Linked DNA regions of Oreochromis niloticus. The protein of the gene in region 2 binds, or shares a complex with, the protein of the main gene of each other region. Links are inferred from orthologs where the notes say so. Each region holds a gene or a part of one and is shown on either strand. Other genes may lie near its edges.

Region 1 (7,688 bases), on a different chromosome or scaffold from region 2:
TTGTTTAAGTCTTGGCCAGTACTAAGTGTATCTCTCTTATATTGTAGCTTTTTAAAGGCTAAATTTATTAGCAATTTAGTGAATTAGTAAATTTAGTGAATTCAGTAATTTAATGGATACAATAAAATACCCCAGACAGTGTTTTTTTCCTTAATTCTCTCTGCCTTGCTCCCATTTTCAAACACAAACACTAGTGTTTCTTGCTCTCCATTTCTACATCTCTCTGATCCTCTCTCTCTCTCACACACACACACACACACACACACACACACACACACACACATCACTGGCGTGCTCACACACCAGCAGACAAACACCTTAACCTCAAACCACACGCTAGGTGCAGACAGGACCACACATACTGTCTCACACACAAAATGTTTGGAATGCTATAAACATTTATTTCAGTTGAAAAGAAGATTTTTACAAGTGCGTGATGCGTACATGTGTGTGCGCGCACGTGTGTGTGTGTGTGTGTGTGTGTGTGTGCATGTCCGCTTTTTTTTCTGCTGAACAGGAAGGCCACCAGATCGAGAGAGATCAAACATGACCAAACATTTTGGGTGTGTTGTCCATAAAATGGGACAGGTTTATACATAAAAAGAGTTAAATCCATAGCTGAGTCATCGCTTACCCACAAAATGTTCCAAAAGGAGAGCGATTTATTAATTTCGTACATTTATGCTTTTGCTTTTTAGGGGTTAGATAGTTACAGAGTTAGTTACAGAGTTAGGATTTGAAAACTTTAGGATTTGTTAACTTAGGTTATAATACTGTAGTCTATAAAAATTCAAGTTTTTGCATTTAAATAATATATAACACAGTTCAGCAGTGTAATGTAATGATCTGGTGTTCATCCCCAATATAAAGGTATCAATTAGATTGATTTGAAATGAATGATCTCTAAACAAAAGGTACAAAATGTTCCATATACTTTTGTTTTTATTGCTATAGAGTGTATATATAAAGGTGTGTGTGCATGTGTGTCTGTTCGTGTTTGCCCTGTGTGGTTAACAGACCTCCCAGAAAGTCCATCAGACAGAATGTGGCCAAGCAAAGACACACAGACGCAGACAGCGAGCTGCAGTTCAAATGATATGGGCAAACTCTCTCCTTTCTTCTTGCAAAATCCTCCCTCTTCCATTAGCACTTTTCCTGTATAAGTCTATATTAATCTTCCTTTGTTACCACCTTAGTAGATCTTCAAAACAGCCTTCCTGTACAGCCTTTATCGCACAGAGACGATTGAGAAAGGCCTTTACAAACTTGACAATGACAGCCTTTGCGTTTGCAGCACGCTTTTTAAAAATATAATCATTTCACTTTCAACAGCTGCTATACTCTGTTACCGAAGATCCAGCATTTACCCTCAGACTCATGAAGACCACAACTATTTTACATTTAATTTTCAGAAAAAAGGAATTGTCTTATAATTGAGTAAATACGGAGTCTCGTAATGGAAAATGTGGCAGAGCGATAGACAACAATTGCCAGTATTGTAGCTCAACAGGGAGGGATGCAAATGGATAACATGCACAGTCAGATGGGTTATAGAGACCCTCAAACAGCATCTTACAGAGAAAAGTGCCAGCGCCCTGCAGCAGGGAGTTGTCCAGCTTTTCCCACTCTGGCTTCTCAAAACCCAACCCAGATATTTCCTGGTTCTGACACCAGCTTGGCTCTCAGATCCCTCCTGAAAGCAGAGAGAAACAAGAAGAGAATTACTCCAACTGTGTTCAAGTGAAAAGGAATGAATTTCAAGGTCTAGTGACGCAGACTGTTGAATGTCAGGTGAAAAAAAATGACATTTATTTGCGAGTCCCCAAAAAACACACTTTATATCACAGTTGTTTGACATATAACATTTCACAGCTGGTTTTGAGGCTGATGATGAACAAATTTGCATTCTGGGTTTCAGTCCAATAAAACAGTGACAATGGATCTTGTGAAGTATTTCATAACAAGAGGGAGGTTTTTAGCATGCAATAAACGAAAGTGCATTCGCAGTAAATTAGTAGAAAAAAACTAATCACATCACCGAAGGAATGTAAAACAGTTTCTGCATCGCTGCCACAGTGAGACATCTTAATCTTTGAACTGCGAGCATGTGCGTTCATCTCTGACACTGACTGGGCGAACGTGCCGGTTTTAGTTTCCATAGCAGTGGTAAGGGCCCCACAGAGCACTGGCCCTGGAAGTGGAGCAAACACAAACCACAGTATAAGTATGTGTGTGCGTGTGTGCGTGTGTGTGTGTGCGTTTGTGTGTGTGCGCATGTGTGACTTTGTATGTTCTGCAGTACCCACCTCTAAACTCAGAGGGAGGCTTCAAACACACACACAAACACACCCATGCATGTACACTCACACAGACTCTCGCCTTGGCTCTGTTCTCTCGCTGGGTGGTCTGTGCTACAAATGTTTATGATCTAAACCAAGCTAATCCAACTGGCTTGTTTCAGTGAACTGAGAATGATTTACAAGATGCTGCAACAGAGCCAAGGAGGGAGAGGAAATCAGAGGAAATCTTAGGGCTCCATTTCAAGTCACTCAACGATTAGACCTGCACGACTGTCTCCATGTCTGTTTGCATGCATATCCCCATCTGGTTCTGTCTCGGAGTTGTGGCATTCTGTTTTGGACCTTTTTTCATTTTGTCTTCCTCTAACCGCTCAGTCGGATGTCTTCATTTCTGACAAATAAAGCGTATTTTGAAAATATGTAAAATACATACGCTCGGGGAATTTTTTAATTTACATGTGATTCCTCTTTGCCTCATTTTTCAATTCTGTTTTCTTCTCCCCCGTTTTCCCCACATATATCAAAGAAGCCCTACAGTGTGTCTCTGTAGGGCTCCTCCTTACAATGAACATGCTAAATGAAGAGAGAGATTGTTCAATAGCATTTTCTCTATGTGTATGGAAGGATATCCTTAGGGCAGTATATGATGACAAAGCCTATTAGAAACCTTTCTGCAAGCAAACCAGAGTTTGCTGAAAAGCTTCCTTTTTTTCTATAGTCGGTCAAAGCTGCATTAAAAATAGAGAGATTAAAATGACAGTTATTGAGATCTTTAATAACCTTGAAAAGCAATAATATAAAGAAAAATGAATATGAATGTAGAAGTATGGAAAGGATAAGCAAGAAACATTGATGTCTGAGGGGAGGAGGAGAGAAGCTGAGCCATGTAAGATCTTTGTACTTAATTAAATTTTTAAGTAATACGTAACTTAGCATAAAACACATGCACATCTCATCAACTGGCCAATCACATTGTCTGAGCAATCAGTTAGCATTAGCCAAGAAGTTATCTATTGCTATTAAAAACTAAAACACTTACCATTTATTCCAGAAGAGAGTTTATGTAAACAAACACTTTTTTGTTTTCCCACCACATTCCAAAGTTTTTACAACACAACATTATTATGACTCAAGAACAACACCATCACAAGGATATCACATCCACTATAGAGGAAAACTCAAGTATTGTGCAGATGACATCACACAAAAAACTTCTGTACTAACCCCGTTTATTATTATTATTACAAGAACAAACAAACAAACAAAAAACAACTTTGATATCCTTTTAGACATGTTTGCTATCTTGCTGTTTGAGCTTTTCTTGTAACTAGCCAAGTTCTCTAATGTCTCACACACTTCAGCTCCCTGTGGTTAACCAGCTAAGTTAAGTAATCTTTGTGGTCTTTATTTGACTTTTACTGTGGCCTTTTTATTATTGTTTTCCTAGATTCCTTTGTATGAACTGACAAAGATGCCACCTGCATACTGACAACACCTTGCAGGCTTCAGAAGATGATAAACAGAAATGATCATATGTCAGTTAAAGTATGCTTTTATAAGATAAATAGCATATGGGATTGTTTGATTTTAGAGTTTGTTCTTTTGTTATTTGTCTACATGGCTCTTCTGCGCTGCTTATCTGACTTAGACCTCAACTGATGTTTAGCAATACTCAGCCAAGACAATGAAAAATCACAGACAGCAAATGCAGCTGGACACCCACTTTTTCAGCAATCACCATTCACGGTGGAGAAATTGCATTCAATAGTTTCGGCATTATGGTGTTTGGGCAACAACAGGCAGTCAGGCCTCTTCGTCTCTTTGTTGTTTTCTTTTTCTCTCCTTCTTCCCTCCCTTCTCGTGCTTGCCTGGCTTTGAGCAGGCAGTAACGAGCAGTCAAGCTCATCTCCTGGCCAGAGCAAACAAAACCAGAGCCACATTCCCCGAGCTCAATTTGCTGTTACGTCTCAGCTCTGTGAATTGGGATTTTTCTAAGCTTTAAGTCTAAAGGAGTAGCTGTTTGGCTTCTGGCCGCTAATCTGCTCACATTTTTACTATGTGTGAACATTTGTAATTCCTGGTACCACAGCTTTAAAAAAAAGAATCTTCTTTATCTCTTTAATAATGTAAAACAATTATCATCATCATCACTCGGAAAATTAATTTAGTATAAATCATAGTTTAGCTTGCCAGCATGATGATATTATACCCTAGCAGAGTGAAGTTTTTTTTTTCTTCTTAAACAGATCTGTTCTTCTCAACCATACCCATTCCTCCTTTTCCTCTTGTCTGTAAAAAACTTCAGTCTATGACAAATCATGGTCTAGTTTTTCTCCTATTCTCTGATCGGAACCATATTACAGAGGAAGTAGTTTCCCGCACGGACGCATTTCACTAAAGGCACGCAGGTGTCATCATTAAAATGCTAGTTGCTTAGCGTCTTTTGCGTAATTACTGTTAAATTATTTAGCGAGAAATCAAATATCTGTTATTTACTTGTATTTAAGTTACATGTCGGTTTTCAGAAACGTGTCCGGTTGGTTGTAATCTATCTCTGAAAAAGCGGCATCGTTTACTGCTCGCTGCTAGTCCTTAGCCGAGTGCTAACAACACTGACGGCAAGTAAGTTACATGCGTCTTGCACCGCTGTCATTTCGAGGCAGCCGAACAGCTCGGAGGGATTCTGACAGGTAGGTAAAGTTTTATATCTCACTGCTTCGGCTTTGAATTAATTCTTAATTCAAACTGATTTTTAAAGGATGGGTGTGCACTCGGTCAACAGGGTATGTCCTGAGCACACATGCCAGTTTGGCGCTAGTGGTTACTACAGCGATGACATGGTAGATATAAAAGATATGTGAAAGCGGACCTGGATTGAGCCGTCTGTTGCGAGTGTGTGTGCAGCACACCTAACCCGGCAAATATAACATTCCGTACACTCGTACACTCTGTTATTTAGAGCAGGCGCTGTGTGAAGCACATGCTGTACTGAGACTAAGAAAGCTATGACTGTAGGAGTCAAATAACTGCGCGATTTTAGATGTCATATTTCATCATGATAAACACAATATGCAGATTCCTCCTCTTTTTCCTTATTTTCAGCACATTCTCGCTCATTGTGGTGCATAATGGCAACCATAGGTGCCATACGTTACAATAAAGCACAGGCATCCTTGTTTACATACAATGAAGCACAGTTGTGCAAACTTGTTGGTGATGCACTGGTATCATGGCGTTGAAGGTGGATACCACTGAATGCTTGGGGAAAAAAAGACATTGGGAGTCCAATCAACAGGTATTAAGCTGTGCATGCTCTTGGAATGAAGGTGAATGAAGCAGTAGGGCTGGGCGGTATAACTTCAAAATTATATCACAGTATTTTAATGAAACTTGCAATAACAGTATTACTGATTATATAGAAAAGAATTCTGAACAAGGTTTTATTGATGCTTGCAGCTTGCAGGCATAAGCATCACTGTAAATAAAGTGTATTTCCATCCTTTTTTTCCATTGATGAAACACTAATTTAAATTCAGTTCAATTTTATTTATATAGTGCCAAATCACAGCAACAGTTGCCTCAAGGTGCTTTATATTTTAAGGTAAAGACTCAACAATAATGCTGATTGAAGTGTGACTTATTGAAGTGTGAATCTATTCGGGTACCAGCACGATAGTGAAGTAGTGATTACATAGCATTACATTCTGGGATGTTGTATGTTGGGTCACCAGCCTTTTAACCAGCTGCTTAATGTCCTGCTTATTCCACCATGTAACCACATATGTAATTTCCATCCACTGTTTGTTCTCCCTGGCATTTAGAGAACAGCTAGTGGTCCTCGGTGGAGCCGTTTGTTTACATTTGCACTGTATCTTCTACTTTATAGTCTGGTTGTACAATCTGTACAATCTGTGGCAATGTGTATTTGCTCCAAGTGCTGAAATATGTTTGTTGTTTTCGCTTTTAGTGGGAACTAGGATATTTTGCAAAGTATGGTTTTCGTTTATAATAAACCGTCAATGGCTCTCACTCTCAGAGATGCCTAGTCTTGTCTCATTGTCGTGTGCACTAGGGAATGTAAATGCATGGTGTTGCTAAGGCAAGAACCTTGCGATAAGACATTTTTATATTGTGTAAAAGTTACACTGGTATTTTTGTGGTTGTTTTAATGTGGCACTGCCCTAGTTGCCAGCATGATCATGACATTCAGAAATGTTAGAAGCCTGACTCCTGTGCTCATCCATCAGCACCGAGACCTCATTAGTGACACAGTACATCAAGCCAATACCATGAAAGACAGAAAAATACAGTTCTTGATGATCATGATGATGATACTAGTATTTTAGGGAATTCACAGTTTCAGTCTTTTGAGTAGGAGTGCACTGATCCTTAACATTAATGTCCTAACTTTGTAAAATGAAGTCCGTCTAGCATCACTGTTCAGTCACACAGGCTTCAGGGCTCGCAAAATTTCAAAATCCCTGGTAGCCCTTCGGGCAGGGACTCTTCAGTTTGTGGTAGCCCAAAATAAATTTAAGTAGCCCGATTAAAAAAGAGAGCAATTTTTTTTTGATTGATGGTTTGTTTCCTGTTTTGTTTCCGTTACAATATTATACATTAAAGTATAATATTGTAACGGAAACAAAACATTAATCAAAACATTGTTGAAACACAAATTAAACATTGTATAAAAATTACAATCATCAACTCAAATACTTGGTTCTAATTGAACAGAAATTTCTATGCACTTGTAAGAACTGTGTAGAACATGAATCAGTCTGTGACAGGTCCTGAATTTGGAATTTCCACTGAAGTCACGGGTAAGAGATAAGTGAAACCAAGATCTAGGACATTTTTTTTTGGAAGTTTGCAAAGACTGCTAAATTTTGCCAATGGTAGTTCACTCTTTGCAACATAGTACGCTGTTCTAAACAGATTTTTCAGGTTTATTTTTAGTATGTTCTTTGCAATTGGTGTTTGTTCTGGGAAAGATATTGCAGACTGAGCAATATTGCATTTCTTGCATTTCTCATGGGTTCTAATGGGGGTCTTTCTTAAAATTACTGGTCCCAGTAACAAAGGCGCTTGTCGACTCAGAAATCGAGGGAAAACCAACAACACACCCGGCAGAACATTGTTATTTACAGGGGTGCACATAAGTGGTCCGCAGGTGCGCATTTGTTGTCAAAATAAAAGACGCGCACCAGATAAGAAGTTGCAACGCGCGTTTGCGTACATATAAAAGGCACTGTTTTTGTCCGCTAGAGTGGGATTTTCACGGCATATTCTGCACCACATCTCTGTGTGTTCATCATTTGTTTGAAGCCAGCTCACCTCCTGCAACCACTTTTCCGAGAATACGCGCTTCTTTTGCGGTTCGGACTCCTC
Region 2 (7,668 bases):
TGCCAAGTAAACTAGATCCTTGGTGCCCTTTTATCAAGTGAAGGCTCTTTGAAAACACAGTTTGTTGTTACTCTGATGACACAATTGGCAACCACTGAACTTCTGTGTTTTGTCACTTAATTTGCATACATGTCTGGTAGCTAAATTTAACTGTTTAGTTTTTTTTTTCATATTGTAATTACCACTTAGTTCTTTCAACTGGTAATTTTCTTTTTCTTTTTGGGGGGTTGTGAGTTGTCAGTAATATTCTTAGTTGTAAATTAGGTCATTTCTATGGGCTCTTGCATAGAGTTTTGTTTCGGAACATTAACATCACCTATCAAATGAAGCAAGGAACCAAAAACCTTGTTCCTAGGAAGGAATTTGTAACATCCTATGTATATGGTTATGAGTAAAAACACCCTCCTGATTTCTATTATACAGTTTAGATATATATATATATATATTTGTGAAAGCTTCTCCTGTCAGAGTGCAATGGACGGAGGTGTTGAAATGTAAAGCTATCCAAGCATTTTCAGTCATAGGCCCTTCTTCTTGACACTGGTAGAGCTAATTATTCTTCTGAAATTTCACAAATATCGGTTCCCAACTACAGTATGTGCAGATCCATCCAACATGCTTCTTTCCAGCAGAATTGTTTTGGCTCGGGGTGGTTGCAGATTGTTTTTGATGGGGATAAATTAAAGCATCTGTCATGGGGTACATTTTTAACAGTGAACATTGTGCGCAGTCACTGATTTTTATGTTGACTGATTAAATTTTGTAAATTTGTGTTGGGCTTTTATTCAATAAACTATTGGATGGATTTACATTATTTTTGTTTTGTCCTTTGAATTGCCTATTTAGGCATGTTTGAGAAGTAGGAGACGCATGTAGAGTGCATGTGCTCTCATTGGCTGATTTGTTATGTACACCTGCTCAACTGCCAAGTAGTGCATGCATCTAATCAATCACATGGCAGCAGCTCAGTGCATTTAGACATGGTCAAGACAACCTGCTCAAGGTCAAGCTGAGCATCAGAATGGCAAAGAAAGGTGATTTGCGTGGCTTTGAATGTGGCCTGTTTGCTGGTGCCAGATGGGCTGGTCTGAGTATATCAGAAACTGCTTGTCCACTTGAATTTTCTCCACACAACCATCTCCAGGGTTTCCAGAGTGTGGTCTGAAAAAAAGGAAAATTTCCAGTGAGCAGCAGTTCTCACAAGTTGGGTGAAACTCCCTCATTGATGCAAGAGGTCAGAGAATGACCAGATTGTTTGAATCATTTTTAGTCATGTTTTTATTGTGTTTTTACTGTTTTAAATACAACAGAAACCTCCATTTATTTATTTTTTTCCTTTCCACGTTTCCAACATGTTACATATGCATGTTCTGTATTGTTTAGCTGTAAAGAAGGCTAAAGAGCAACTTCTGCTCTTATTTCACATGTACTAATGCTTTATAGCAGTTTTAAACAACGCCTGTTTGACTACAATGGCAACTGTCACTTCAGTTAGACTGTCATTCTTCTGTTACTGCTGGTTGATTGAAAGCAAATAATAGCTCAAAAAACCACTTGTCACACCCAAGGTATTCAGAACAGCGTCTATGAATGGACAACATACAGAAGCTTGGGAAGACCACACCAGGTGTATTTCCTGTCTGCTAAGAAGAGGAAACTGAGGCTAAAGTTCACGCAGGCTCACCAGAATTGGACAAAAGAAGATCTGGAGTAAAGAACATGAAAACATGGATTCTGTATGCCTTGTATCACAGGTTCAGGATGGTAGTGATAATGTAATGAAGTTGGGGATGTTTCTTTGGCAGCACCTTGTTGAATCTTTGCCACAAAGAATTAAAGCAGTTCTGAAGGCAAAAGGGTGTGCTACTGAAGTGTGTTTATGTTTGTTTATGACTGTTAATGAATCTGCTGAGTGCTACAGTTTCTAACATGAAGTCATCATGTTAAAGTGACTTGGTGCTTTCATGTCTGACACTTTCCAGTAGCCTAATGTTTAGATGTGGAAGTCACCTTTTAAATTTATTTTTTGCCAGATCAAAGTGAAAAAAAATCAATTAAATAATTTTAGTAATAAACAATCTAGAAATAGACTAAAATTTAGTGGAAAAACAGAATTGCTAACAAATTAAAACCAAGCTTTTAAACCAGAAATCCAAACATCCCATCACCATAACAGCGGTTATCTAGGTTGGCTAGAGAACATGCCTCACTAACCTATTAATCTCACTTTTTACAACAACTGTGCTGATCACAAAAATTCTGCTGATCATCATAATGACCAGTAAAATTTCTTTTTTTCATGCCTTAAAGCACATGAATAATGATCACTAATGAGTAATTAGTAATCAAACTGTCCAGAAGATCATAACCATCTAAACACAGCTAGGATGCATGCAACACAGCGTATCTGAAGAAATGATGGAGCCATTAACCTCATGTGGAAGATGCTTCAATCCAAACAATTTCCAATAGATTGGACCTCTGCAGTGAGAAGAGGCAGATGCCATCAAAAGATAAAAGGTGAGCAACTGTGTTGTTGTCTTTGTGTTTTGTGAGGCGATACTTTAAAATGTCTTATATGCATTCAAATAAAATGCTTGTGTCTAAAAGAAGAAGGCTGACAGTCATGACTGTTACTGGAAGATAATACAGAGACGCCAGGGTGTACTTTAGTTAGAGATTCCATTTATAGTTTGCCATCAATTATTCAGACTCCCAGATCAGCGCCAGAGGATACCTGCACCATAATCACTATCCACCAGGCTCAATACAAAATCATATGATTGTGACAGACAATAACCTCAACATTAATTTCAAGGTGATGGAATATCATGGGACTGCGCTCTATTATCGCTCTGTTATAATCCCCCTGCATAAAGCAACAGTCCCATTCTAGTGAGCCGCCATATTCCGAGAAAATATATATTACTTATAGTTAGTAGAAATCCAAGAAAAGTCAGCAGTATTTCAATGGCTTAATATCAAGGCCAAACTTCCACTCAGCCTCAGACTCAAGTAACCAAGGGCTGCTTGAGAATATAAACAGCTGACAAGGATACAAAAAGTTAAAAAAAAAGAAAAAAAAAAAAAGGGAGATGATTTATTTTGGCTTCAAGCATCATACTGAGCCACATGTAAAATCCTACTCTTTAAGACTGTTTTCCAACCACTGTGCCCGAGAAATGATCAGGAGTACCCTGGAAGATTATCTGGTTCCACCTGATTAGTACACTAAGCGATCGGCGTGAGTAACTGGCAGAACAATTACATTCTCTTCCACTAGAGGGCAGTACAACCACCTGCTCTAATTAAATGGGTTGCCAACTCCGAGTAAAATAGAAGATGACGTAGAGAAAATTACATTGTCAGTGAGACAACGCAGCGCGTAATAGCAATAGATAAATATTTGAAAAGAAAAAGTAGTCAATCTGACCTGGGTCCTGGAGAAAATTGCGACCCAGACGAAGGCCGTAGCATGAGTAGTGATCAGAAAAAGCAAAAAAGGTATACTGGGGACAAACCGAGCCAGTTCCGCTATGCCTGGTGCGCGGGGGGAAATTATCAATATGCTTTTTGTGACATTTTTGTTTGGTGGTGTGCCGCGTGATTTTTCTAATGTGAAATATGTGCCATGGCTCCAAAAGGTTGGGAAACACTTCTTTAGGAAATATATGTTTTCAACAGTGCAGTGTGATCACTTTCAATGACAGTCTGACAATGACAGGAAGAAGAAAAGCCTCTTGTGATGGGTTTGTGTGTTATTTATATTTTAATTAGTTGTATATCATTTTTTAAAATTATTTTTGTTGCATTCAGTATGTATAAATTAACCAGGAGTGCACTACATCTAATAAACTGTCAACTTTGTGTAAATATACATATGTTTCTACAAACCTTATTTGAGACCAAACGAGCAGCCCGTTCACTAATTTCTCAATTAAAATGTTTTAACGATGCATAGACGATAAATATGTACTATTTTTATTGCTATGATAGTAACTATTAATATTACTATAATTAATCTTTCTTGCGCAGTTTCCCATTTCTCTTAAAAATCTACTTCTTTTAACCTCTCTTCGTTTTCATCCAGCATCTACGGCCCAAAATGGCCATAAAAAGGAATATTTGTCAACAAAGAATTAAATTAAGCACAAAGCATTGACCAGAAAGGTGTATGCTTTAGCTGAAGCTTGTTATATCTCCAATGTATACAGAGCATATTTTCACAAATAGCAAGCAAGACTTTTATTATGGAATCTAATTTCTGCCACTAGGAAAACTAAAATTAAAAACGTTTCGTCTATAAGTCCAAAGATGGAGTTATTGTCTCAAAATTTCAGCTTATGTACTCAATCTTCTGAGAAAATAACTAAAAATTGATCAAATCCATCCATCCATCCATTCGCTTCCGCTTATCCTTTTCAGGGTCGCGGGCAAATAGCATATATGTTCAAGGTATTAAGTCCAGGTTTTGAGATAATAACCCTATTTTTTTATTTGTGTTTTACGATATATAAGTAATAATAAAATATATATATATATATCGTTGTTTTACATTTCACTTTCAGACTGTCATTTTACTGTAGAAATGGGAAATTGTTGTAATTTCAACCCACTCTACTGTAACGCACGTGAAGCGGCAGACCAATCAGATGACGGCGAGCCCACAGCCACCCGGATGTACTCCTGAAGTGCTTCCTCGTCAAAACACTGGCATGGTGGAACTATTGAGTGACTCTAGTGTTACAGTTACAGCTTTTTAAACCAGCTATGCCGGGCCCATACAAAGAAACAGACCTAACCGAGAGGGTTGAGGCGTTCCTGTCCGACCTGAAGCGCGGGGGGACCGGGGCGGGACCTCTCCGGGGCTCTGCGGAGACAGCCCGAGAAACGACAGCCCTGCTCCGCAAAATTACAGCCCAGGCTCGGTGGGGCAGTGCAGGTGCTGAATGCTGTTTATTGTCGACACAGTGAAGCTAACTGCAGCGACAGCTGCCATTGTAGTCAAACAGGCTTTGTTTTTAAATCTGGTATAACGCTGTAGTACATGAGAAAAAGCTTTCTTTAGCTTTCCTTACAGCTAAACAATACAGAACATATATATGTAATATGCTGAACATGTGGGGAAAAAATGGAGGTTGCTGATGTAAAATCATACACAAAAAAATATTCTATCCTAAGATTTTGGTCTTTTACAAACATCTTCTCGATTTCAGGTGATCTGATGGAAATAATCCGCAAAGAGGGGAGGAGGATGACAGCAGCCCAGCCCTCAGAGACCACAGTGGGTAACATGATCAGACGGGTGCTGAAGATCATCAGAGAGGAATATGCCAGGTGAGGACGCCAAAACGTACCATTTTCAAAAAAATATTTGCTCCTTTTTAATTTTATAGCAACGTGTCCCAAAAAAGTTGGGACGAGGAGAACAAAAGGCTGGAAAAGTAAGCAGTACCAAAAGTAAACAGCTGGAGGAACATTTTAAAACCAATTACGTGAACTGGGAACAGGGCATTAACATGACTGGGTATAAAAGAGGATCTTAAAGAGGCAAAGTAAAGTAAAGATCGGCAGAGGTTCACCAGTCTGCAAAAGCCCTCCATAAATTGTTGATGAATTTCAGAATAATGTTCCTCAGTGTAAAAATGTGAACACTTTGAATATCACATCATGAAAAGATTTTGAGAAACTCGAGAAGTCTCTGTGCGCAAGGACCAGACTGAAAAACAGGACTGGACGCCTGTGGTATTCAGGCCATATTCAGATGGCACTGCATTTAAAACAGACATGATTCTGTCATGGAAATCACTGCATGGTATCAAGAACACTTAAAGAAACCACTGTTTGTGTTCACCTGTGTTCATCCACAAGTGTATGTTAAAGCTATACCATGGAAAGAAGAAACCAAATGAAGTGAGTCAAAGTGGAAAACTCTTCTGTGCATCATCAGTGCTGAAAACTATTTACATGTTTTAGAGTAACACATGTTCCCATTCAGATATTGGTAAACTGCATCTTGTACAGCAGTGTGGCTCTGTAGTAGAGGTGCTTTGGCTCTGAGCTTCCCTGCCTGCAGTCCAGACCTTTCACTATCTGGAAACATTTTATGCGTGTTGAAGTAAAGTAAATGTGACAACGAAAACCCGGGACTATCGAACAGCTAGAATCCTCCAGCATCCTCCAGCAGCTTTTCTCTTCATTTCCCAGATGTTTACAAACCATTTACAAACACGTCGCCGTCCCAGCCTATTTGAGATGTGTCGCTGCCCTCAAATTGAAAACAAACTAATGAGCTGCAGTTTCAAGTTTTTTCTTCTGTCCCAGAAAACCATTTGACCTCACAGTAAAGTTGAATCAATAGGCAGCCTTGGAAGCAAGTACGATCGTACCAGAGATTAAAGGATGAGAATATATTCCTTAGAAATACTTAAGCTACAGACGGCTCAATTACTTTGTGTTTTTTGTGAGATTTGTGCTTAGCTGTGTTTTTCTTTCAGATCTCGGGGCAGCAGTGAAGAGGCAGACCAGGAATCCCTCCACAAGTTGCTGACATCTGGGGGACTCAGCGAGGAGAACTTCAGGCAACATTTTGCTCCCCTCAAAGCCAACGTCATCGAAGCCATCAATGAGCTACTCACTGAGCTGGGTAAGTTGCTTTATAAACAAGATAGCGTCAGTTTTTATTTTAAATCACTCCAATTCTTGGTGCCCATCATTTTATTTTTCAGAGGGAACGACCGACAACATCGCCATGCAGGCCCTGGAGCACATCCACTCTAATGAGGTCATCATGACGATTGGCCGCTCGCGCACCGTGGAGGCCTTCCTCAAAGATGCTGCACGCAAACGCAAGTTTCATGTCATTGTGGCAGAGTGTGCTCCTTTCTGCCAGGTAGCTCATCTACATCAGTCAAAAAGGAAATACTAAATGTCTAACTTTAGATAGAAAACACATCTTATTTCTTCGCCTCCCAACAGGGGCACGAAATGGCTACAAACCTCTCAAAAGCTGGCATCGAAACAACTGTGATCACAGATGCTGCCATATTTGCAGTCATGTCTCGAGTTAATAAGGTACTTAACATTTTAAGGAGACCTTAGCGCAGTCATGTTAGAGCATGCAGGTGAACTTGTGTCATGATCTTTTTACAGGTCATCATTGGTACACAGACAGTTCTAGCAAATGGAGGCCTGAGGGCCATCAACGGGACACACACACTGGCCCTTGCAGCCAAGCATCACTCCACACCTCTGATTGTTTGTGCTCCCATGTTCAAGCTCTCACCTCAGGTAAGAGATTACTCCAAAGTCAGAGTTATCTCCTTTCAACCCCCATAAATGATTATACTCATACTTCTGTGAACATGATATGTCATATTTCAGTTTCCAAATGAAGAGGATACCTTCCATAAGTTTGTCTCCCCACATGAGGTGCTCCCGTTCACTGAAGGTAACATTTGCAAAAAAACTGACCTCAACCACGTGCCCACGTTTGGAAAATCCTTTTCAGATTTGGACATATCCTCTTTGTCATTTTTTTTTTTTTTAAATACCTCACATTTTTCTCTTCGTATTTCAGGTGAGATTCTCTCAAAGGTGAATGTGCACTGTCCTGTGTTTGACTATGTCCCGCCCGAGCTCATCACACTGTTCATCTCCAACATCGGA

Evidence for each region. The genes of interacting proteins can lie anywhere in the genome.
Region 1: eif2b2 (region 2) and eif2b3 share a complex: the UniProt entries of both Homo sapiens proteins name them as parts of the translation initiation factor 2B (eIF2B) complex. The link is inferred for Oreochromis niloticus from reciprocal best matches to the Homo sapiens genes EIF2B2 and EIF2B3.

Annotation. Positions count from the first base shown.
Region 1 is NC_031982.2:15,477,465-15,485,152, reverse strand, and holds the start of eif2b3 (translation initiation factor eIF2B subunit gamma), read left to right. Parts: upstream 1-4,682; 5' UTR 4,683-4,990; intron 4,991-7,688. UniProt on the Homo sapiens protein: Acts as a component of the translation initiation factor 2B (eIF2B) complex, which catalyzes the exchange of GDP for GTP on the eukaryotic initiation factor 2 (eIF2) complex gamma subunit.
Region 2 is NC_031980.2:9,344,512-9,352,179, forward strand, and holds the start of eif2b2 (translation initiation factor eIF2B subunit beta), read left to right. Parts: upstream 1-4,657; 5' UTR 4,658-4,770; coding exon 4,771-4,942; intron 4,943-5,216; coding exon 5,217-5,337; intron 5,338-6,497; coding exon 6,498-6,646; intron 6,647-6,728; coding exon 6,729-6,892; intron 6,893-6,978; coding exon 6,979-7,074; intron 7,075-7,152; coding exon 7,153-7,290; intron 7,291-7,383; coding exon 7,384-7,450; intron 7,451-7,579; coding exon 7,580-7,668. UniProt on the Homo sapiens protein: Acts as a component of the translation initiation factor 2B (eIF2B) complex, which catalyzes the exchange of GDP for GTP on eukaryotic initiation factor 2 (eIF2) gamma subunit.